Linked DNA regions of Lepisosteus oculatus. The protein of the gene in region 3 purifies or fractionates together with the protein of the main gene of each other region. This does not show direct contact. Links are inferred from orthologs where the notes say so. Each region holds a gene or a part of one and is shown on either strand. Other genes may lie near its edges.

Region 1 (7,221 bases), on a different chromosome or scaffold from region 3:
CCATTGTCTGCCCACTTTATCCAACAGAGCGTCGCAGGGGAGACGGAGTCTATCCTAGCCAGCAGCACCAGGTGATTACACGCGTCCTGAATGAATTCGGTGTGTGCAGTCGCCCATCATAGCAGGTGCACCTAGCGATCTGCTACCAGAGCTTGCCAAAAGCACCTTGGCTGTCCCTTTGTGTTAAGTTGCAGGCAGGCCATTCAAAAAAAGTATGTGACACACACCCTGGCGTCTGACAAAGCGTGATCCAACATTCTGCGTCCAATTCCAAGGAGATGCAGATGTTCACAGGGGCAAGAGGTCTTCAACAAGAAAAACAGACGCGAGACTCCCACCACCACGCCACTTGACGCATTTCAGGTTTTACAGTAAGCTCTTGCGTTAGTCAATACCAGGTGCTGGATGTCTCATGTTTCTTGCTTTAAACTACGTAATTTTAGACAGACATTCAAAGTTAAATATACAGCCTGCATATCCTGTTCCTTCAGTTCAGTCTGTACCAGAGCCTACAGCCCCATTAAATCTGAACTGCATCGAAATACCGTGTAACACGGTTACTGCTACTGTGACAGGGCTCGGTGCACTGACGCAAGTTCGACTTCACCCCCTCTGGAAGCTGGACTGACAGCTAGAGGCAGAGACCTGGTCTTTAAGCTAGGCGCAAGTACCCGCTGTCTAGAGAGTGGAGTCGCAGGTGCTCGAACCCAGGCAGGGGCAAGGAGAGCTACACTGGCCACACCACCCAACAAAAGCCTTGTTTCCCTTATTGGGGCACTGCAGAGATGTATCAGAGTGCCCCAGAGCTAGAAGCCTGTCTTGGAAACAAAAAAGGAGCAATTACCTCAAAAATGCAAGCAACATCAGGTTGTTCACATCTCCTAAAAGTCAGAGAATCTGAGACAGCATCTGATGTCAAGCTCTGCTGTCAGAAGAAGACTTCATGTGCTAGCTAGTGTAACAAGGTGGTAAGCTATCATCCTGAATAAGGCAAATCACCACAACTCCTCCACTTGCCCTGCAACTCCTCTTACATGCAGAAGGGCCTCCCATCTAATATTCAACGGAGCACTTGCTGGCCCAATTCTGTGTAATAATACCATGGTAATTACGCTGGGCGGCGTGGTGGTTCAGGGGTCAGTATTGTTGCTCCGCAGGGCTGGGGCCAGAGGGCCATCAGTGTGGAGCTTGTCTGTTCTCCCCATGGTGGCGTAGGCTTCCTCCCATCGTCCAAAGACACACTGTTAAATTAACTGGCTTATAGGAAAACTGACCCTGGTGTGAGTGAGTGCGTGTGTGTGCGCGTTTGTGTGCCCTGTGCTGACTGACGTCCCATCCAGGACGTACCCTGCCTTGGGCTCACTGATTGCTGGGCTTGGCTCTGGCTCTGCCTCAATCCTGGATGGGAAATGAATGGGTGAAAAATCCCATTCACGCTCCCTAAACCAAACAACTTCCTTGAAAAAAACAACAACAGAGTTATCATGAAGGTGGGGTAGCCAGGAAGGTCTCCTGACCTCGGAGTTTTACAATGTCCGGGATATTCTTCAGAAGACACATGCCATCACAGGCAACAGTCTCACAGTCTCTAGCTGGTCGCCGTCCAGAATAAGGAAGTCGAATCCAGCTTGAATTTACCTGCTCTGCAGAGCTGGGGATGATTTCGATCCAAGGAAGCAGTGCAGTAACTTCACTTTGACTATGTGCACCTTTTAAACTCTCTTTCACAACATTCTGGTTTCGATTAGAAACATTACAACGTGTTCTCGCCTCAGATTCCATCCTCCTTGGGTGAAGGGGGATCGATCACCCAGCACCCGTGCCAGATAAAGTTGCGGAGAGGCCTCGTTTCCTTCCCGACTTGTCATATGTCCTTGTGCATTCATTGTTGAAAAACGCTCCTCCGAAAATTCCTGCACAACGGCAGCCATGCAGTTTATCGGCTCACTGTTTAGATTAATGCACAGATTTCACAACCGTGATTCCCTGTTCGTGAGATCAGATTCAGGGCAGTTTCCACCTTTGTCCATTACATCCGCGTATCACACTGCAGAAATGTTTACTTTTTTTCTGGCACGTGGATGTCATCGTCTTTGCCATTTCTCGTCCCCTGCTTCTCACTGATAAGCGACTTTCACTTACAAAGACAAGGAAGACCAGGCGAATCTGGAGCAAAGTGTCCGAAACAATATCAATATCTCCGCTTGCCGCTTTCTAAAGCTTTGCCTGCGATTGCAAAGGCACAAGTTGGATTCATTCAACACCCAGGAACGCAATGCTCCGCACCGCTTCCAAAATAAATCGCACTAAAACCGTGAAATGCAATCTCCTTAGATTGAGTCTTATTCCTGCAAAGGAGTGTCGCCGCCACCACGATTCAAAGCTGTTTCGGGCACAAAAATCCCTGCTCTTTCTCTCAAGCCGTCTGTCGCGTCGCTAGTCCACGTAGCAAAAAAAATAATAATACAGACAACACAAAAATCACACACCGGCGGCTCAGTCCATCGCTGCCGGAGCTCACCTGCAACGCCCGGGCCTGACACATCCACACCACCGACACCCCGACCCCTGTCACCGCGGCTACAATCACACTCCGGCCGGGCGTGCTTGCCAAGGGAAGCCGACGTGGCGACGGGCGCAGCTCAGCCAGCTGCGCTGCGGCGAGAGCCTTCTCGCCTGCCGGCTGCGCGGCTCACGGGAGACCGCGGATCCGCCGCGGCCCACCAACTCCGACTCCCTTCCTCAAAATGGCGGCGGGCAGTTTACCCCGAGTAACCGGAGGGGGGGGGGGAGCGAAATTATCCCCCGATTTGGGTACTCCGGGGCGGCTGCGAAACCCGGCTCCCCCGCCCCGCCACGACGATGGGTCCTTACCTTTGAATTTGAGATCGTTTGGTGGATCGAGGATTAGGATCTGCTCCTGCTTGGACATTTTTGCTGGGGAATTCCGGTGATGGCGGTGCCGAGCTGCCGCTGCGAGAGCGAAAAAAAAAAACCCCGAGAGCAGCACTGAGTCACTGGGCGGCGGGGGCGAGCGCACGAGCACGCGCAGCCCGGGGACGCGCTTCCCCTTTGAAGGGCTGCTCAGCTGCAGCGCAGTGCAGACGCCCTCGGCAGCCACATGCCTTCATATATTGTGATGATGGCCATTCGGTATGTGTCCCGGGTTAAAATCGCTTTATGACACTGGCCCTCCTTTATGTACAATGCGGCAGTGATGCCTGTAACCTGACCACCACAGATCCCAGAAGCTAAGCATAGTTGGGCCTGGTCAGGACAGGGTCCTCTAAGGGAAAGCAGGTTTCTAATCTTAGTGGCTTTCTCCCTCCTGGGTTAGGATTTCCAAACAAGTTCCTGAGTATGGTGCCCAGTGACGCTGATATGTCAGAGGAAACCCCCTACACATGAGAAAAGTCCTCACTACTTGTGGTCATTAAAGATCCCATGACACTCTTCATAAAAGCAGAGTTAAGACTTGGCCGAATTTCACCCTGGACATCCATAACATGGCCTCCCTAACGACTGTTAAAGTGGAAGAGGTATCAGTGGGAGCAGCAGGGGGCGCTCACCCTGTGGCTCATGTGGGTCCTAATGCCCCAGTATAGTGAAGGGGACACAGTTTATGAGGATACTGGAAGAAACTGTATTAAACAGAACTCATACAGAAGAGGAAGTGTTGCAGTATTTGAACCATTTAAGATACTATCTATGTCACAAAAGTAAGTGAGGAAATGATATAAAGTATAAAGAAATCACATGCTGTTGTTGTACATGGAAGGTTATGCCAACATAATTAGCATTAAGGAAGAAGTTAAAGGTTTATTCCAGAGAGGAGGTGGAGGTGTGAGAAAGACAGGGGAGTCAGAAGGGGTTATATAGAGAGTGTAGGGGAGGCGGAGTGGCCACCTCTGTCTTTCTCACACCCTGCTGTGTCCTTGATTCTTCAGTGCTCTGTATCCCTGCTGCCTTCCTCTTTCACACTCACACTTGGAGTAGGCTCAGCAGTCAATTTTTTGTTTTTCTTTTTTCTTTTCAACATGGAGTCTGGGACTGTGGTGGTATAGCATAGGTCCCATGACCGGCAGGTTTTGGCTTCGAGTCACTGCTGAAGACAGGGCTGTTGTACCTTGACTGAGGTGCTTTACTCCAGTTGCTCCAGTCCCCCCAGCTATGTAAATAGAGACCAATATTGCTGGGGGTTAAACCTTGTGAAACAGTGTCCCCTCCAAGCAGAAAATAATTTGTTCTCTCGTCCAGCTAACACTAAGGAAACAAAGACAACCTCTGGCCCAATGAGTTACTGTGGCTCTATTCCTAAACAAGAAGACGTGTGAGGCAGTACTGTTTTACTGAATAGTCAGAATGGTTTTAAAGAAGGTAGATTTTCCTTAACAAACTTGCTGAGCTCTGCGTTCTTTGAAGGTTATTCAATTATGCAAATCCACAGACGAAAATCCAGTGGGCTTCTTCAGGATCATCAGTGAAACACGAACAAGAGGATACAGATAGAAACTATGGGGAGGTACCTTAAAAGAGGGAGAATGGGAGACAAAGTTTTATGGAAGAGTGGAACAAAATATTCAGCCATATTCTTGAAAGTGATACCCTGTTTTCTTCCAAACAGCAGCTGGATGAGATCCTTGGATCTGTTGGCAACTAGCAGTCAAACAAGCTCACTGGACTGAAAGACGTCCTCTTGTAGGGAACCTTTTTAATGTTCTCATGTTTATTTATGAACTCCTGGTTTTTACTTGCATTTTTGTTTTGCTTTGTCTTGGTGGTTCCCTTAGCTTTTAAAAAAATAGAGAAAATCCTCAAATGGCTTTCACAATAACCAGAGTAAATGTGAAGCAACTAAAGTGAAATTCGTGTGGTGACAGTTTTACTCCAGTTAAGAGGAAACGTTCTTTGTGTTTCACAGACTGCTCCCTGCAGTGGTCGTCAGTTTGAGCAAAGGGAACAAAGTGTCGGAAATCCTCTTTCAGTCCAGCTAAGATCAACAAAGGTTTTCAAAGTCAGAAAACATGAAGGGGTACAACTTTGCTCCCTTCTTTTTGTTGGTGCAACAGATGTTGCTCGGACTCGGGGGTCAGGTGGCGATTCCTTCACTCTTCCACAGCAGCCTGAAGCAGCTGCACTGTCTGTGTGTGAGGTAAACACACACGTCTTTAGATTTATTTTGAGGAAAAACAAAATAAAGATCTGCAAAGCAAAATCACTGTTTCCTATACATCATCTATGCCAGTGTACACCCGACTTTAACACGTTTAAACTGGGCTGTAGTATTACAGAAAAAGAAAGACTGTTTGTGATTAATAACAAAATAATGTATATTTCATAATAATACACTGCACACAATTTTATAGCCTCTTCAAACTGAGCATTTCCCATTATGTATTTATGATTTATAGTTTTGGTATTTGCATGTAATATTTTACATTTGTCTGTTTGAAAGATCATCTGCCAGGTATCTACCCCATTTTAAACTTCACCTGAATTCTGAATTATTAGAAATATCTGAATTTTATTTTAATGATATGGAGCCATAATAGAGCTGCACTGACTGTTCAAAGATAACTGAAAGAGTTTTAAGATCCAGGTATTCTTGAGTTGAGACACTTTTCATTAAACTCTCTTCCACATGTGTATACAAGATCCGCAGGGCAGGTTAACAGCTTTACAAAGCCTACTGTCAGGCTGTCAAGGGACACTTGTCTGTGGTATCTGTGTCCTCAAATTGTTGCAGCCAAAAGTTGTTTAAAATAAACTGGCAGGTAGTTCTGCTTTTAATTTACTCCTACACATTGCTAATTGACACAGATTCATGCAGTAGTTCAGCTGTCAGTATCAAATTAGCACCTTCAAAATGTGTCACAGAAATCTCAGTCCTAATTATGAACTATATGTAATGTTCAGTAGTTTTACTACTGCTGCTACTTCTATTATTAACACAGATGAGTACAATACTACTTACCTTTCTGCACATCATTGGATATTTTTGTTCCTATAATACTACACAATACTATTATTGAGAGTCAAATTACATGGAAGGGTGTACCTGTCTCAGCCCACAAATAAAAGCAATGACAATTTGCACATACCTTCCTGCTGGTGTCTACTGGTTTTTCTTATAATGTTACATATCTTTGCTGAAAGACGTACATCAAATATTCAGTGGCATACACTTTTTGTATTTCCTTTCTCATCTTTTACGTTTTAGTTTTCACGCCTTTTGCACTGCGTGATGCTCATAAAGTGTGGAGTTATTTCTCTAACACCAGCCAGAACTCTACAGGACCGAAGCTTCCTTGTAAAAGCTTCCTGCAGCCAGTAGTCAGGGCTGTTGAGAGCAGTAGCGAAAGGTTTTTGAGAAGTTAAGGAATGCAGGTCTCTTAACACAAGACAAAGATTAATCACCCAGAGAATAAACTCAGTGAACAATTCGTCTGTCTGTGGATTGTGATTCTCCCCTCTGAATCAGTACCCTTTGCAGACGTTAAGAATGCCAGCGGTCAACTAGATTTATAGAGCTCCGCAGTCACGTGTACTACTCCAAAAATTTGCTGTTAGTTCCAGTCCATCCAGACAATTTAAACAATGAGCCAGAAAGATGCGGTTCCGCTGTTGTGACACTTCAGCGTGGTGAAATTAAGGAAGCTAATAGTAAGATATTATAAGACATTCAGGATTGGAAACAATTAAGGAAATAGGGTAAATTGAGCATATAATGCTAATCATGTATTACAGATGAAAGCATTTAGTACAAAATGATCAATTACATTATTATAATCATAATACATGATTATAATATGATTTTTCAAAGCTGTGAAATGAATCGCAGTCTGTATATAAAGTTACGTTTTCCATGGCCCTTCAGTTATTTTACGTTATATTGCTGTCAGTGCAAGTTCATTGATATCATATTTTTGTTTTCCAGGGTTAAATTTTAATGCATTTAGGCCTCCAAAGTGTGAAAAACGACTTGGTTATAAATGTGAGTCCCGGTACCACAGACTGAACTGCAGCACACAGGCAGAATTCCCACTGGCACAGTCCTGTCTGAGGTGACATTTCTGGTAATATAATTGATTCCTCATACAGCTAACAAAGCAGAAGACGTTCACAGTACAGCTAACAAAGCAGAAGAGGATTATTTAAATATTTTAATAAATGTTTAACTTTTTTACTTCTCCTTTTTTTTACTCCTTTACTTTGTCTTGA
Region 2 (7,518 bases), on a different chromosome or scaffold from region 3:
GGAGCCTTCTTCGGGTTTCAAAATCTTCACACCCAAAGAAGACTCCACAGCCGAAACATTGCATTTGCGTTTCTCTTTTCAGCATGGAATAAACCTTTTCTTGTTCCTTTGTAGTATACTAATAGGTTCACTTGAATTATGGAACTATACAGATAAAGGCAATTGTGGATAAACTAGGGAGACATAACAGCACATTGGTTTGAACTGCTGCCTCGTAGTGCTGGTACAGCGTCTTGGATTCCCAGGGTGCCATCGGTGTGGAGTTTCTATGTTCCTCCCATGTTCACATCAGTTTCCACCAGGTGCCCTGGTTTCCTCCCACAGCCCAAAGACATGCTGGAAGGTTAGCTGGCTTCTGTAAATTAGCCCTGGTGTAAATGGGTGTATATTTTTGGTCTGAGTGAGCCCTGCAGCTGACTGGTGTCCAATCCAGAGGTGACCCTGTACTGGACAAAGCGGTTTAGAAAATGGATGAATGTCATCAAACCACACTAATGAATTATAAGCATTGGAAGCAGAAAAACCTCCATTTCCACTTTATGACGATGAAGAAAAGTTCGAGGTGCCGCACTTCAAAAACAAACACTCCTCTCCAACTGTCGCTTCTAAGGACATCCCCACCTTTTATCAAGCTTTGTAATACACAGATGTGTATCCCGGAAATGTTTGACACGGTCCAAATTCCACTGCATGTGGAATCAGCCCTGAGATAAGGAGGTGTCGTTCCCTTTATAATAACACTGGGAGGAGCTGGGTGGACAGCTCCATCAACTGGAATCCCTGGTTGATACCGATGCCCGTGTTAAAATCAGGAGATGAGCTTCACCCTGCAACTTTCCTCTGCAGTCAATACTGTGCTGTAAAGTGGAACTCACTCTTTGCCAAGGGTGTGCACTGACACCATTCATTAGATCCTAGAGTCTAATGATGCATCATAGCTAAATTTATCTTGCCGTTAAATTAAGTCATGCATTTCTATGGTTTTTACTTTCTCTCTCCTACACCGAATAAAGCAGTTTGTGTTTTATCGTACAGTTCTGCACTGTGGTCTTCAAATGGGCTCAAGGTTTCTTAATGAATTGTAAAACCACCGCTGGCAGGAAGTGTCTGCATATTTATAGAAATAGTTAACCAAGTCCCTACTCTGTACTAGCAGCCCTTTGAACCTGAGGCTGTTTTTCCACTCCACTGCACACCATTTGCAAAAGAAACTATTCCTAATGGTTAAATGATACCCAAAAGATATGGATTTGAAGGAACGTATTACAATGTCATTTTCAAGAATTAGTTACATAGTGTAACTTTTTATGCCATCACTCATAAACCAAAGATTCCAGCTGCACACAATTCATAGCTCTTGCAGTACAAAGGTTAAGTCATAATGGTGTTTCACAAGACGTACAGTTAGACAAATGTTTATTTTTTCTAAAAGTTAATTAAATGTTAAAGCTACATCTTGCTCAGAATTATAATACAATTCAACGTAATTGAAGGCAATAAGTTTCAACCAATTTCCAGTCACCTAATATGTACTAGTAATACTGATCTATGCGGTCTTAGACGTATGTCATTCATTCCAATTTCATTCATCAGTGAATTGGAAAGATAGTTATCTTGCTATCATTGAATCACAGCAGTCCAAGTGATTTTAAGCAATACTACCTAACAGGAAATCGTTATTTTAGATGTAAAATCTTTTTTTAAATGTAGGACGTGGTGGGCACCGGTTAAAATCAACAGCATACATTTAAAATAAAAGTCAATGTTTAATAGCAGTGCGTCGTGACTTAAAATCCCACTTTACCTGCAAGTTCATTGCAAAGTATTTTTACAGTATGCGTAAGGGTAGTCAACTGCACCTTTTAAAGGCTGTCCTTAACGATTTCTCCATTCATTTTAGAAACAAACCATTCATTAGGTTAGGGGCCCTACCTCCTGCGGGTGCTTCTTCCAACTTTCCGTGTGTCAGAAATTCAGACTACTACTCCTAAAATCTGCTTTAAACTTTGAATTAAAGTTTCACTTCAGCAAGAACGCAGCGTGAGACCTAACTCGAGACGTAATATTTTTTGCCTCCGTATCTCAAAAGCTAATGGCAAACGCCTTCAGGCATTCCTGCATCTAGTTACCAGCCACAACCTTTGTACCTCCGATTTTCCTACCCAGTTATTTAACTCGAGTGCAGCTCTCCTTGGTGTCAGGAGGCCCTGCTCCTCCATATTTTATCGTCTCAGGTAGATTCATACACGCGTCCGTATCAGTAGCGGTGTAAGTTTCCAAGTTGTCAAGCTTCCCATATCCAAAACCTCTTAAGAAAATCAGAGAGCAAATCAAGTGCCATTTCTTCGGATTACTCTTCACAGCCCAGAAAAAGCTAGGATCCGAGGATTTACTCAAGTTCACGCTTAATAAAACGGTTCTTTTTTTTTTTTTGCTACCGATAACCCAAATACAAATGATGATAAAGGAAAAGAGGATGGATCTAGGAAAAAAAACAAGTCAAGCGACCGACAGACACATTTACACTAGTTTTATCTGTATTTACTGCCCGGCAATATTATCAGCGGTGCAATTAATATAACTCACGCTGCAAGATATGCAAATTCACCAAGTAAAGAAATCCCACGCTTGGATTTGTAAACCACAGGATTTTCAGAATCCGGGTCGCTGTGCTTGTGGGACTGGAAGGGAGTTTAAATGAAGTGGCAGCTCTTCCTGTGTTTTGACAGCCTCCATTAGCATCAGCATTACCGGCGAGCCTTTCCTTCTACTTTAATGTTTCAAAGCCGGAGTGCGACAGAACTGAACGACATCCCCCCCATCATCCAAAACGCTCAATCAGGCAGAAAGTTGTACAGGAACTTACTCTGTCCCGATTTTCCGAACGTCCTCCGGGGCGATTTCCTCTTCTTCTTCTTGTGCACACAGAAAGTTCAAGTTTCCCTAAGTGATCCCTAGCCGCAGATCCCGGCTCCGGTCTCCCCGTGCTCCTCTTCCTGCTGCAGCCCCGGCTCTCCAATTCGCTGGGAAAGACGTCCTGGGAAATGGCCGTGACGTCACTGGAAGAGGCGCAGCCGCGGCCGGCCGAGAGGGGGCGCTGCAGACGGGTGACTTCGTGAGCCGCCTGTGTCGGGGCGGCTGGAGATAAGGCGTGACTTTTTTAGTTTCTTTTTTTTATTATTATTATTGTAACAGCAGTGATGTATATATAATACGCACAAGAGTACATATAACACCATCAGTTGCATCTTACAAAAAAGGTTAAATGAGGCAAATAAAGATAAGGTACACACAGCTTTCATATTCTTATATTTTTGCTAGTTGATCCAAATAATATGTACTGTGTACGTAAATGTGGCTTTTGAGTGAAAAGGCGGTAATTGACTTTTGGGTCTTTTTATGGTTGCTTATTTTTTTATTATAGTTCTTGTGTGCGACTCTCTCCTAATGCCTTCGGGTCAGAAATGTAAAGATCACTTTTTCAAGAAGTTCTAGAGTTAACCGAGCGGAGCCAAACACATCGAGCACTGAAGTTAGTATTATAGTAAGCATACCATGTTGGACTAGCGTTTTTTAAAAAATGAGTTTTTTAATGCCGTGGTGGAATAATATGTAGCTTATTGCCCCCGTGTCAGTGGCGCTTTATTAAACCGGACCACTGGTTTCCATCGGTTTGTATCGTCATGTGGAGCTGCAGCTCCCCAGAGACGCTCCAGCTGACATCTGCCGGTGCCGGTGTAGTTCAAGTCACCTGGCAGCAGAAGTCCTTCGGGAAGTGTAACCTGTCGGGATCACATATACCTTGAGTGAAACTTAGTCAGATGCCGTGTCTGGCGGACCGTGCAACACCTCTTGGTTAACTCCTTAAAAGCCTTTTTGTTCGTTCCCTAAACCTGCAGCTGACGAGACACGGACCCCATAAATGATAACTGCTTTTAATGATAAAACGTTTGGATGATTAATCCAATCTGCGTGAAAGAATGAAGCTCACAATTCCAGTTGCACTGTAGTGACGTGTTAATGAGCCGTTTGTTAGTTGCACTTTATCAAATATAAGAAGCGAAATGAGTGCGAAGTGGTGTTGTTTTTAAAAGACGGAACCTGCGCCTGGCATCTGGAAGATTCTGGAAAGACGAGGACCCGGAATAGAAACATTAAACCCTTCATCACAATGCAAATTGCGCACCCAAGTGTTGATGGTAGATTCCCATTACATAGGAGCAAAAAAGACTCTATGATTCAAAAGGTGATGTCATGTACTGTATTTATAATGTGTGTTAGCCTTGCTGATTTACAGCAGTGGGGCCCCAAGCTGAATTCCAGTCTTGGGGTGCTGTCTGCGTGGAGCTTGTATGTGCTCTGCATGTTTGTTTCCCCGTGTGGGCTCTGGTTTCCTCCCACAGTCCAAAAACATTCTGGTGGGTTAATTGGCTTCTGTAAATTGGCCCTGTTTTGAGTGAGCGTGTCTGTCTGTATGCCCTGTGATGGAGTGGTGCCTTATGCCCATTGCTTGACAGGACACACTCTGGCTTCTCTGCAGCCCTGAGTTGGATAAAGTGGTTAGGGAAATGGACAGGAGGACTGATGGGCAGGGGAAGGCCTTAATTTAATCAAGGTTTAGAATTTGCAGAGGAAACTTAAACCTTGTGTCAGGTAACAAAAAAGTATAAAGCACACAAGAAAGTAAATAAAAACATTAAATAACAGAATATAATTAACACAAATGCTGTGAATATTATTGTAACCTTTTTAAGTTTTAATAAGTGATAAGTCTTAAAGGTTGTTTCTAAGTTATTAATTGCAAAGAAAACACAAACGAAGCACTTTAAGTAGCAGATTTCATTTGTGTTTAAGATTAATTAGAAGCTTGCTACTTTATATTATTAAATATATTCCAATAAAGGTCTCAGTTATCCATAGGAACAGATTCAAAGTGAATGGATATTATAAGCTTGTACCTATTACAAATAATAATGTTAAACTTATATCTTGTAATACAAAAAAACAGTTATTAATTATCGTTTATGTTGCGTTGGGGGGTAGAATTCATTAGTTCTTGTGTTTGAACACTTTGAGAGTGTTGCTAATACTATCAAGCAGACATCAACAGTTTAGCAAAAAAATACAAGCAGTTCAAAGAAAAATTAAATATCCACTTCGAGGAAATTTATGTTTCTGCTGTTGGGAGTTTTTCCAATACAGAGACGGCATCCTTCAGAGAGCACTTGAAGTGGAAATGTAAGGTGAGGTAGATTTTAACATCACCATGGTTTCCACAAGAATACAACACATGCCAATCTATTGTTCATCAATTTTTAACTATCCAGTAACATAAAACTTTTTAAGTATTTTTAAAGGAGACATTTTATCCCAGGTTGAAAGGCAATACAGGGTGAGCACATCTAATTAGCTGGACACCTGATACATTAAGCCTGGCAACTGTATCATTTTTCTGTGTTGGAACAATGAGGCAAAAACTTGTTTCTTGAAATGTTTACATGTTATTTTATTTCATTATGTTTAATCTGCTGGGTCTAAACCTCTGAGTCACACTTCATGTAAATGCTGGAAGACGTTTCAGAAACTGGATGGTACCTCATTCCATTTGATTATGATTTGATTCGTTTTAGTCATGTGGAGAATTATCTTGACATAATGCCATTTCTGTACAAAGATGTTGAAAACGTAATTACGTATGTGTTTTAAGGTTTAATGAAATACTGCTTTCTTCAGATTTATTCTTTATACATTTACCTATGCCACATTGAAGAGGGTTTTTTTGTGAGTGTTTTTGCTTGGTTTTCATTTACTGCATACACATAAATAAATTGAGAGTTTAAAATTTAATTTGCTTTGCAGCAACAGCGGCTGCCATGTGTGAAATAAGCAGCACAATGTAAGACACTATCAGCGGCAAACCATTAGAGCTACAATAAATACCCAATACTTAATAATAATAATTGTAAATTACTTTTCACTGTAAATGTAATCACATTTTAAATATCTAAATGTGCAAATATTTTAAGAGCCTACTTTCTTGGGGTCATCAAAACCACACATGCTGGAAAATCATACCATGCTAATGCCATTGTGCTAGTCCATTATAGGTCAAGTAACAAGACAGAATGAACCATTAAATGTGTTAATCTGTCACACGAATCTTGATACTCATCGCTTTTACGTTTTTGCTTTTATTTTCCGGACAGTTCTTGGAATTCCTTGAAATAACTGTGGAACTGTGTAGAATGAGTAGCGTCTCTTTGGTCCTCCCTGTGCTTGCCTGCCCATCGGGTCACCCACAGCACATTGGCCATCTCCTTGTATCAGCCAGCCTAGTTTCCAGTTCGTTCCATTCTATCCAAGGTCTTTCCTGATCACGGGGGATCATCTTCTGCCAAGAAGTTCTAGCCCTGGACAGAGCCCTCCCTCTTCTTCATCTTGCACTTCCTGGCCTCCATCTGCGGGCTGATTTCAACAGTCTGATCACTGATGTCTTCTCTTACAGATTAACCGTGAAAGTGCACTTTGTTCAGTGATTTTCCTGACTTCACCATTTTCCTGGCATCATTTGGGTGCTCTTAGTTCCTTAGCGAGCAAGGTCAAAGCTAATCGCTATCCGGCAGCCATGTCACCCTGCAACTCACAACTGACGACCCCCTGAAGCTCGGCCGGTGTGAGCCTGGCCAGCACCTGAATGGGAGACCCCCTGGGAAAAACTAAGGCTGCTGCTGGAGGAGGAGTTAGTGGGACCAGTAGGGGGCGCTCACCCTGCGGTCCATGTGGGTCCTAATGCCCCAGTATAGTGACGGGGAGACTATACTGTAAACAGGCGCCGTCCTTTGGATGAGACATAAAACCGAAGTCCTGACTCTCTGTGGTCATTAAAAATCCCAGGGCGTCTCTCGAAAAGACTAAAAAAAAAAAAAGAGTAAGTGTGTTACCCTCGTGTCCTGGTGGTGGAGGGGAGTCCCCCTTACCTGTAAAGTGCTTTGAGTGGAGTGTCCAGAAAAGTGGTATACAAGTGTAAGGAATAATTATTACCAATAATAATGGCTAATTGTTACAAAGTGATCATCTTCACCCCCTATTGCAGCAGCTCTTCCGTGCTGAGAGAAGTCTCCCCCAGAATGACAGTGCCCTCATGTTAGCCATACGTCATGACCTTCTCAGTCGCCAAATCTGAACTCAATCAAGCATTTTTATCATCTGGAACAGCACTCGTGAGGGTGTATTCCACTTCTATCAACCAGGTAGGAGAATGTTATCACTTCCCACCTGCAGAATTCCAGATGCTGGAGGACTCTCTGCCATGGAGCATACAGGCTGTACTGGCCACACATGGTGGCCCAACACCCTATTAATTGACCTTACATTGGGGTGTCCATTTTGTTGTCCAGTACCTACTGTACATACATATATATATTTACAGAAAAGTTAAACTTTCTAGGAACACCTTTACTTATGCCATGGCTAAATCACACTGCTCAGTTTGACCAAGTGTTATTTTGAATAACCTTT
Region 3 (7,051 bases):
TCTAATTCGGAGACTATCCCAGCAGGCAAAGGGCTCGAGGCAGGGTACACCCTGGAGGGGACACCAGTCCAAGGCAGGGCACACACAGACACAGACATAAACACATTCACTCACACCTGGGCCAATGTTCCTTTAAGCCAATTAACCCACCTGCACGTTTTTGGACTGTGGGAGGAAACTGGAGCACCCAGAGGAAACACAGGTGAACATGGGGAGAACATACAAACTCCAAACAGACAGCATCCCAGGTCTGAAATTGAACCCAGAGCCCCAGCACTGCAATGCTAACCACTGTGCCACTCTGCGACACCCTTACTCATTATCACAAACTCAAATCATCTCCGAGAATGCTTTATGCACATAAAAAGTGGAAATCCGAGGAACTGTTGCTTTCTTTAACTCCTTTGCAGGTTCCAATTTACATTACTTACCTGCCTTTCAGGAAACGCTGCAGTTGATCTGGTCAGGAATTGTTCAATTACTCCGATTGTCAGAGAAACATGTAATATTGCCATCTGTCCGGTAGGTGGCAGGTTACTCCACTTTTTCGCATGCTTTAGTTTTGCAAACAAAACGCCGAATTTGGCACTCGGGTACTGGGAGTCAAGTGGAAAGTCCACTCAGATGCAAGTTGCTTATGTAAGGGGTTACTTTTGTAAAATTAACATGAATTTGGGGTCGGGGGAAATACTTAAACATTGATCTGTATTGCATGTACAGTATGAGGTTATCGTAGAGAAACTATTAAACATAACAGACCCCTACACGAGCAATTGTATTTGACTACGTTCGTTACATGATCATGGTCACAATTAAGTATTTTTCCCATCACTGGCTGTAAACTTACTAGTCCAGAACAAAAAGCATCGCAGGCCTGATGGACATGAAATGGTGCTTTATCTTATATTTTCAACTTGACTTTGATTTGTTTGTGTTCGTAACCATGAAGTCTTCTTTGCCGGCTTCCGTCCTAAAATCAATATTGCATCTTACTACTTCCGACTCTCCGTCGCGACTTTTGTAAAACTGAAGTTCCGGACCCCCTATTACAGACTTAATCTGTCATCTTCCCGTGAATCTTCTTCATCTGTCATCTTCCCGTGAAGGGAGGACTGGGACAGAGGCTGGGACATTATGTGAGAAATGCAATAAAATGTGGTGCACGTCTCGTTTCATACCTATTTTACATGGTCACAAATGCAAAACCAAAAAAAAAACAAACATTTACACGTCTCAACTATTTTTTGTCATTCTTGGGACCTTGAAACATTTTTGGATCGCTTTACAACTTTGCAGCATTTTCTAATAAGAAATGAACAGCTACTCATTTCGGAAACGCATACAGCCCCTTGGCTGCGATTGCATTGATTTCTGCCTTGAGGAGGACGTCAGATATGACAGGCGCTTTAAAAAGTATTGAATTCCCAGGGGGCTCTGAGCTCTCCAGCTTCCGGGGGACTGATGCTGGTCATCGGATTTTAGGAAGCCGTTCACATCGATCGCGATGGTCGGGACCGACCTCTGTGCAGCTTGTAGGCCGCGCTAGGAATCACACAGCCCTGCTTTCAGACATTACATCAGGGATCCTTGTTTGTTTAGAGATAACACCCGGAGATAAGCATTGCATTTATCCGGCGCAGATCTGCGAAGAAATATTCTTTTTTTGTAAATCATTAACTGAAAAGTAGGAAACAGTAAAAAAAAAACCCGAGCCGGGATGCGAGCATGCTCGGATTCTCTCATGACTAAATCCTGGAGGAATGGCCCTGTTTTCACTGCGAAGGGGCGAGGCTGTGTCCACTTTTATTTCTAGAGAATAATAATGAACAAGAAATAGGTTTGTTACCTTCAGGTGGAGTATGGAATAAACCTATTACTTGTTTCTTTGCAGCCTACGCATGCTGACAAAGCTACTCACCTAAACTAATAATAATAATAATAATAATAATAATTGCTTACACTTACATAGTGCTTTTCTGGACACTCCACTCAAAATGCTTTACAGGTAATGGGGATCCCCTGCACCACACCAATGTGCAGCTATGATGATGCAAGGGCAGCCATTGTGCCCAGAACGCTCACCACACACCAGCTCTCAGTGGGGAGGAGAGCAAGGAAGCCAATTCATAGAGGGGGATTATTAGGAGGCCATGATTGATAAGGGCCAACGGGAAAGTTGGCCAGGACAGCAGGGTTACACCCCTAATTTTTTCTAGAAACACCCTGGGATTTTTTATGACCACAGAGAGTCAGGACCTCGGTTTTACGTCTCATCCGAAGGACGGCGCCTGTTTACAATATAGTGTCCCCGTCACTATACTGGGGCATTAGGACCCACGTGGACCACAGGGTGAGCGCCCCCTGCTGGTCCTACTAACACCTCTTCCAGCAGCAGCCTTAGTTTTTCCCAGGAGTCTCCCATCCAGGTACTGACCAGGCTCACACCTGCTGAGCTCCAGTGGGGCTGCCAGTTGTGAGTTACAGAGTGACATTGCTACTGGCTTGAGCGTCTGCATACAGCCCTATGTTCTGGGTCAGTGGCCGAATGGTAATGAGGTTTTCTCACCAAAGTGATCCCTGTAGTTCAGAACCTGCAAGGTGCCTCAGGATCCTGTAGGCCTAGACACCACACTGTACGGTGGTTAAACAAATACATTTCATATATAACTGGTCTGAGCACTTCCGTTATGCGTGTCCAGTCCTGGCCCTGGAGGTCTGGTGTATGTATATGGGTTTTCATTCCAGGTCATCTCTTCACGGGCTTAAACAGCTGGGTACTGGCTTAACTGGGCCGATCTTACAGCTTTCTGAGCTCTCTCTGTTTGTTAACGAGGTGCACGACACGCCGCGGTCCACCACCACGACTGGACGCCTAACCCGTCTCCCAGGTGAACCCTGGCGGCTTGTGTCCTCCTCCAGGGAGGAGATCCACTTCGGGTTTTGCTGACTCTCCCTCTAAGGAGGAGTAGCTGAGACCTGCTCTCTTCACGAACGTAAGAACGAAAGAGAAGTCACAGGAAGGAGCGCTCTGCTTGTTTAGCTGCTGTTGATCCAGCCACCTCTCGAAATATCCCAGGAATCTGGCTTCAATAACATAGCTGGGCAGTTTGCTCCAGACACTCGCCACTCTTTGTGTAAAAAAGGAACCTCCTTTTTCTAACCCAGTACAAGCATTAGTATCATTATTCACGGGATGTATTTTGTGCTGGCTTCTGATGTCTTCCGACATAAAAAAAACTTACAAATTCTAGCAACTGTGTAACGATGAAAGAGGTCACTGGGGCTGTGGGACAGCCAGGAAATCGAGCTCCTGATAAATCTCTCTGCACAGCCTCTAGTGGATCCGATAACTGCCCGCTTAATTGCTTAATTTGTGTGCAGACTTTACCCTCTGCGAGAGACGATTGTCTTAACGGCAGAGCGCCTTGCATTCCATGCTGTTCTGTCACGTAGTCGGGGAACTGACGAGCACAAAACGTCAGGCAGCCTTGATAAAACCCACTCAATTCACTAAGCGTAAGCGCCCCCACCAGTCTTACAGAAAAGACCTGGCGAAACTCGGAGGGTGTGATGCAATTATAAGGGAGGTCAATACTATCTACCAGGCGATGGCTGCGTTTTAGGTACCGTGACAATTTGACACGATACAATCTCAGCTTGCCGCACGTCGTTTTAATGACATAATATACTCGGTTTCCAAGCATCATCCACGTAATATTGCTTGGGCATCGAGTTGAAAGAATAAAAAAAAAAAATACTCTAATGTGTTTTACAAATGTCATTTTCCCTTACCGTGATGTCAAGATATGGGAACTAAACAATGACACAGTGGATACATTAACACAAATAAAACACGCGTTATATACTACATTTCACTTTCTTGTCCAATTTATAAAACTTTATTATCAGGAAAATAAACCTCACAAATTAAAGCCATTTTCACATGGGATATCTAGTAAAAAATACCGATCCCCGTTCTTCCCAAAGTTCTCTTTGGGATTATATGTTTTTGGTTGGGCGGAAGTAGACGCAGGAATGAGGGAGCGATCAGTCTGGGCGGAGTGATCGGGGAGGTATTGTCAATTTGTTGAAAGTAATAGACTGTAAGAAGAGAAAGGAAGACTTGCGGCCGTTAAAGAAAAACTCAGAAGTTTACGGTCTGTTGTTTGAAGAGTTTAAAATAAAGGGGTTTCTTCTATCTGGGAGCGTTGCTACCGTGCGGCAGAAAGAATAAGGGTGGGAAACGGGACAGAAGCAAAACACTGGATTGCAAAAACATGGAGACACGGAGAGAAGGGTATTCCGCGCAAGTTTGAGGGATTTCGTCTGCAAGTCCAACATATCGGGGAATTTGAAGTGTCGCCCGGAGCTGAAACCGGTTCGATTTGTAGCCTCATCCCTTCGCTGTTCCCCTTTTTTGTGGAAAAGATCTGTTTTCGGATCGGGGAATAAGAGGGAAGCCGAGTATCGAGAGAACACCAAAAAAGTTTTTGCCCTGGAAAGCGCCGGACTGCCTTGCTGAGGAAATCTGGGAGTTCGTGTTGCTGGAAAAAAAAAAAAAAACAACAAGGGGGGGGGGGAGATCGCGTTTTAAAAACCACGCACAGCCGTGCGGGCGCGCCTCGGGTTGCTATGTAAGGATCGGGAAGGGGGGAATCTCAAAATTAGAAAAAAAAAGGACAAGAATTTGCAGGTTTTTGGAAGAGCAGGAGCAGGAGCAGGAGGAGGAGGAGGAGGGGGGGGGTAGTCTTTTTTTTCCTTTTCATTATTCATTGGAATATCGGCAAAGCAGGAGGGCCTGTTTCTGGACAGCGGGGCTCTGAGGAGCCGGGAGGCTAATGGGAGTCCTCGCGGCCGGGAATGCTGTGAGTCGCGCGACCGGGACGGGCTGCTCGCGCCGGGCTTCGGGAAAGTCCCCCGAGCTGGTCGGGAGGGAGCGGGCGGCGCAGTAGGATGAGCGACGGCGGGCACGGCTCCGGGGGGGAAACCGAATAGGGATGTATATTCCTAAAAGCATCGTTTAAAAAAAAAACAAAAACAGAAACAGAAATAGCCGCCGCCGCAGCAGCAGCAGCAGGACGGGTGGGGGGGTGTGGAGGGGACCCCACGGTGGTGTGATGAGAACCTCGCCGACTGTAAAGGCAGGATTCGAAGGGAACAGAGGCGAAGCCGGAGAAAGGAGAGTTTTCCAGCCGGGAAGCGCCTTCACAATAGGAATTTCAGTGCGCCGGCGGAATTGAGCACCAGGCGGCGGGGAGACGGAGCCAGGGGGCGACGCGTGCTCGGGAATCCCGTCCTGCGGATTTTTTTTTGGGGGAAAAAGCCTTTCGCGCATTCCCCGCGTCAGACCCTTCCGGATTCTCTTAGGATTGTACAGCGATCGCCCGGATCTGCTTCATTTTTAGATCCATTTATTTATATGAGATACAATTTTTCTTCCCGCTCCAGTGGAAGGATCCCCGTTTACATTATTGTTGTCGTGCGCCCGGTGTGGGAGAAAGAGTCGTCGCGCTGCGGAATCTCGACAGAAGTCTGCCCGACATCTCGTCCACTGGGGTTTGTTCTTCAGCGATATTCGTATCATTGTTGGCATTTGTGACACACACACACACACGAGAGAGAGAGAGAGCATCCTGACGGATATTAGGAGGGACCTGCTACTTTCCCGACAGACGGAGGGTATTTTTATTTTTGTTAAAATGCTAATTGGATAAGAGCCGAAGCAAAACTCGAAACAGAAGCCCAATGAGCGGCACACAGTCTACAATCACTGACAGGTAAGCGATTCGCGGTGGCGTTTGTCTTGGCTTTTGTTGATATCATTTCCAGGCGTGCAAGGCAAAAAGTGTCTTTTTTTTTTGTTTGTTTGCACGGCGCGGCGTGATGTCTCCCATTAATGTTTTATTTTAATGTGGTTTATCACCCCTCCCCTCAGTCTGTTTGTCAGGCGTTGATCCGGAGAGAAACGATGCTACAGTATGTGCAGATAAAACCTGGCGGTGGGAACAAAGCTGTCGGGGCCGCGGGAGCGAGCGCAGTGTCGCCGCGCCGGGTGGGCGAGATCGCGCGGCGCGGCGGGGCACGCGGGAGTCGGGTGGGCTTCGCACGTCCAAAGCTCAGTTTCATTTCTGAACTGCGTGAAAGGTGGTCGGAGATGGGGTTGTTTGTATTCCCCACACCGAATGGTTTTGACCTTGTGGCCGATACGGTCATGTTACGGAGCGTGACACATATGCGCGACGTTCATTGACGAAGGGCCCCCCGTCTTCGGTCTCATACGATCTCGCATGCTCAGATTTCCGAGGGGCGGAATGCAATCGAAGCGGAGCCCGAACGGCTTTCCGGGGTGGGGAAGGACCGGGTGCTTTTGCGCGCAGCGAAGTTGCAGGCGGCAATGGAGTGGGTTCCGTCTGCACGACAAGCGCCTTGGATTGCATAACGCGCCGCTGCGTGTTCGTGCGTGTGCGCCCCAGCACTGGGGCTCAGACCCCAGAGGCGCCGGGCATGTGTGCTCAGTGTCGGGGCTCTCTGTTCCAGTACCTGCGGTGCTTTCTTCTGGTGCCCAGCGGTTTTGGTGGCAGGTGTGGCGATGTGGACTGAAGCCACCCTCATGCCAAGGGACCAGCGGTCTGCCTGTCTGACGACTGGCTTGCATTGCGCGCCCCTGGGGTTCTTGCAGGGTGACGTCCCGGTCCGGCGGAGGATGGGGTTGGGCCGGACGGCTGACCCGTCCGCAGGGTCAGTTTTTACTCGACTGGTTCACCTGCTTGTGACTGCTCCCGACAGGTGCCGGGGAGCGATTTACCCAGGGACAGGGTGGAGAGAGGGATTTCTTTTCCGAATTCATTTTGTTTTTGTTTGTTTTCTGTGATTTAAATGGCATTTCTGCATTTCATCCTGGGGAGAAGAAGCGAGCGAGCCAGCGCAGTGCTCTTCTGTGCTGGTCTCCCCCTGGCGCTGTGTGTCGGTGCCCCAGCAGGGACTGAGAGGGGGTCAGTCGGATCACGAGCTGTGCGATCCGAAGGCCGTGCCTGAAGCCTCTGGTCCCCCA

The links. The genes of interacting proteins can lie anywhere in the genome.
Region 1: the proteins of arhgef12b (region 3) and vapal purify together in Homo sapiens (affinity purification with mass spectrometry; 5 studies listed by BioGRID and IntAct, counting the BioPlex papers as one, with this or other methods). This does not show direct contact. The link is inferred for Lepisosteus oculatus from reciprocal best matches to the Homo sapiens genes ARHGEF12 and VAPA.
Region 2: the proteins of arhgef12b (region 3) and myo6a purify together in Homo sapiens (affinity purification with mass spectrometry; 4 studies listed by BioGRID and IntAct, counting the BioPlex papers as one, with this or other methods). This does not show direct contact. The link is inferred for Lepisosteus oculatus from reciprocal best matches to the Homo sapiens genes ARHGEF12 and MYO6.

What each region holds. Positions count from the first base shown.
Region 1 is NC_090701.1:56,563,626-56,570,846, reverse strand, and holds the start of vapal (VAMP (vesicle-associated membrane protein)-associated protein A, like), read right to left. Parts: upstream 3,013-7,221; 5' UTR 2,933-3,012; coding exon 2,875-2,932; intron 1-2,874. UniProt on the Homo sapiens protein: Endoplasmic reticulum (ER)-anchored protein that mediates the formation of contact sites between the ER and endosomes via interaction with FFAT motif-containing proteins such as STARD3 or WDR44.
Region 2 is NC_090697.1:9,138,197-9,145,714, forward strand, and holds the start of myo6a (myosin VIa), read right to left. Parts: upstream 3,013-7,518; 5' UTR 2,867-3,012; intron 2,058-2,866; exon of another isoform or gene 1,933-2,057; intron 1-1,932. UniProt on the Homo sapiens protein: Myosins are actin-based motor molecules with ATPase activity. Unconventional myosins serve in intracellular movements. Myosin 6 is a reverse-direction motor protein that moves towards the minus-end of actin filaments.
Region 3 is NC_090718.1:14,318,620-14,325,670, forward strand, and holds the start of arhgef12b (rho guanine nucleotide exchange factor 12), read left to right. Parts: upstream 1-4,039; 5' UTR 4,040-5,745; coding exon 5,746-5,777; intron 5,778-7,051. UniProt on the Homo sapiens protein: May play a role in the regulation of RhoA GTPase by guanine nucleotide-binding alpha-12 (GNA12) and alpha-13 (GNA13). Acts as guanine nucleotide exchange factor (GEF) for RhoA GTPase and may act as GTPase-activating protein (GAP) for GNA12 and GNA13.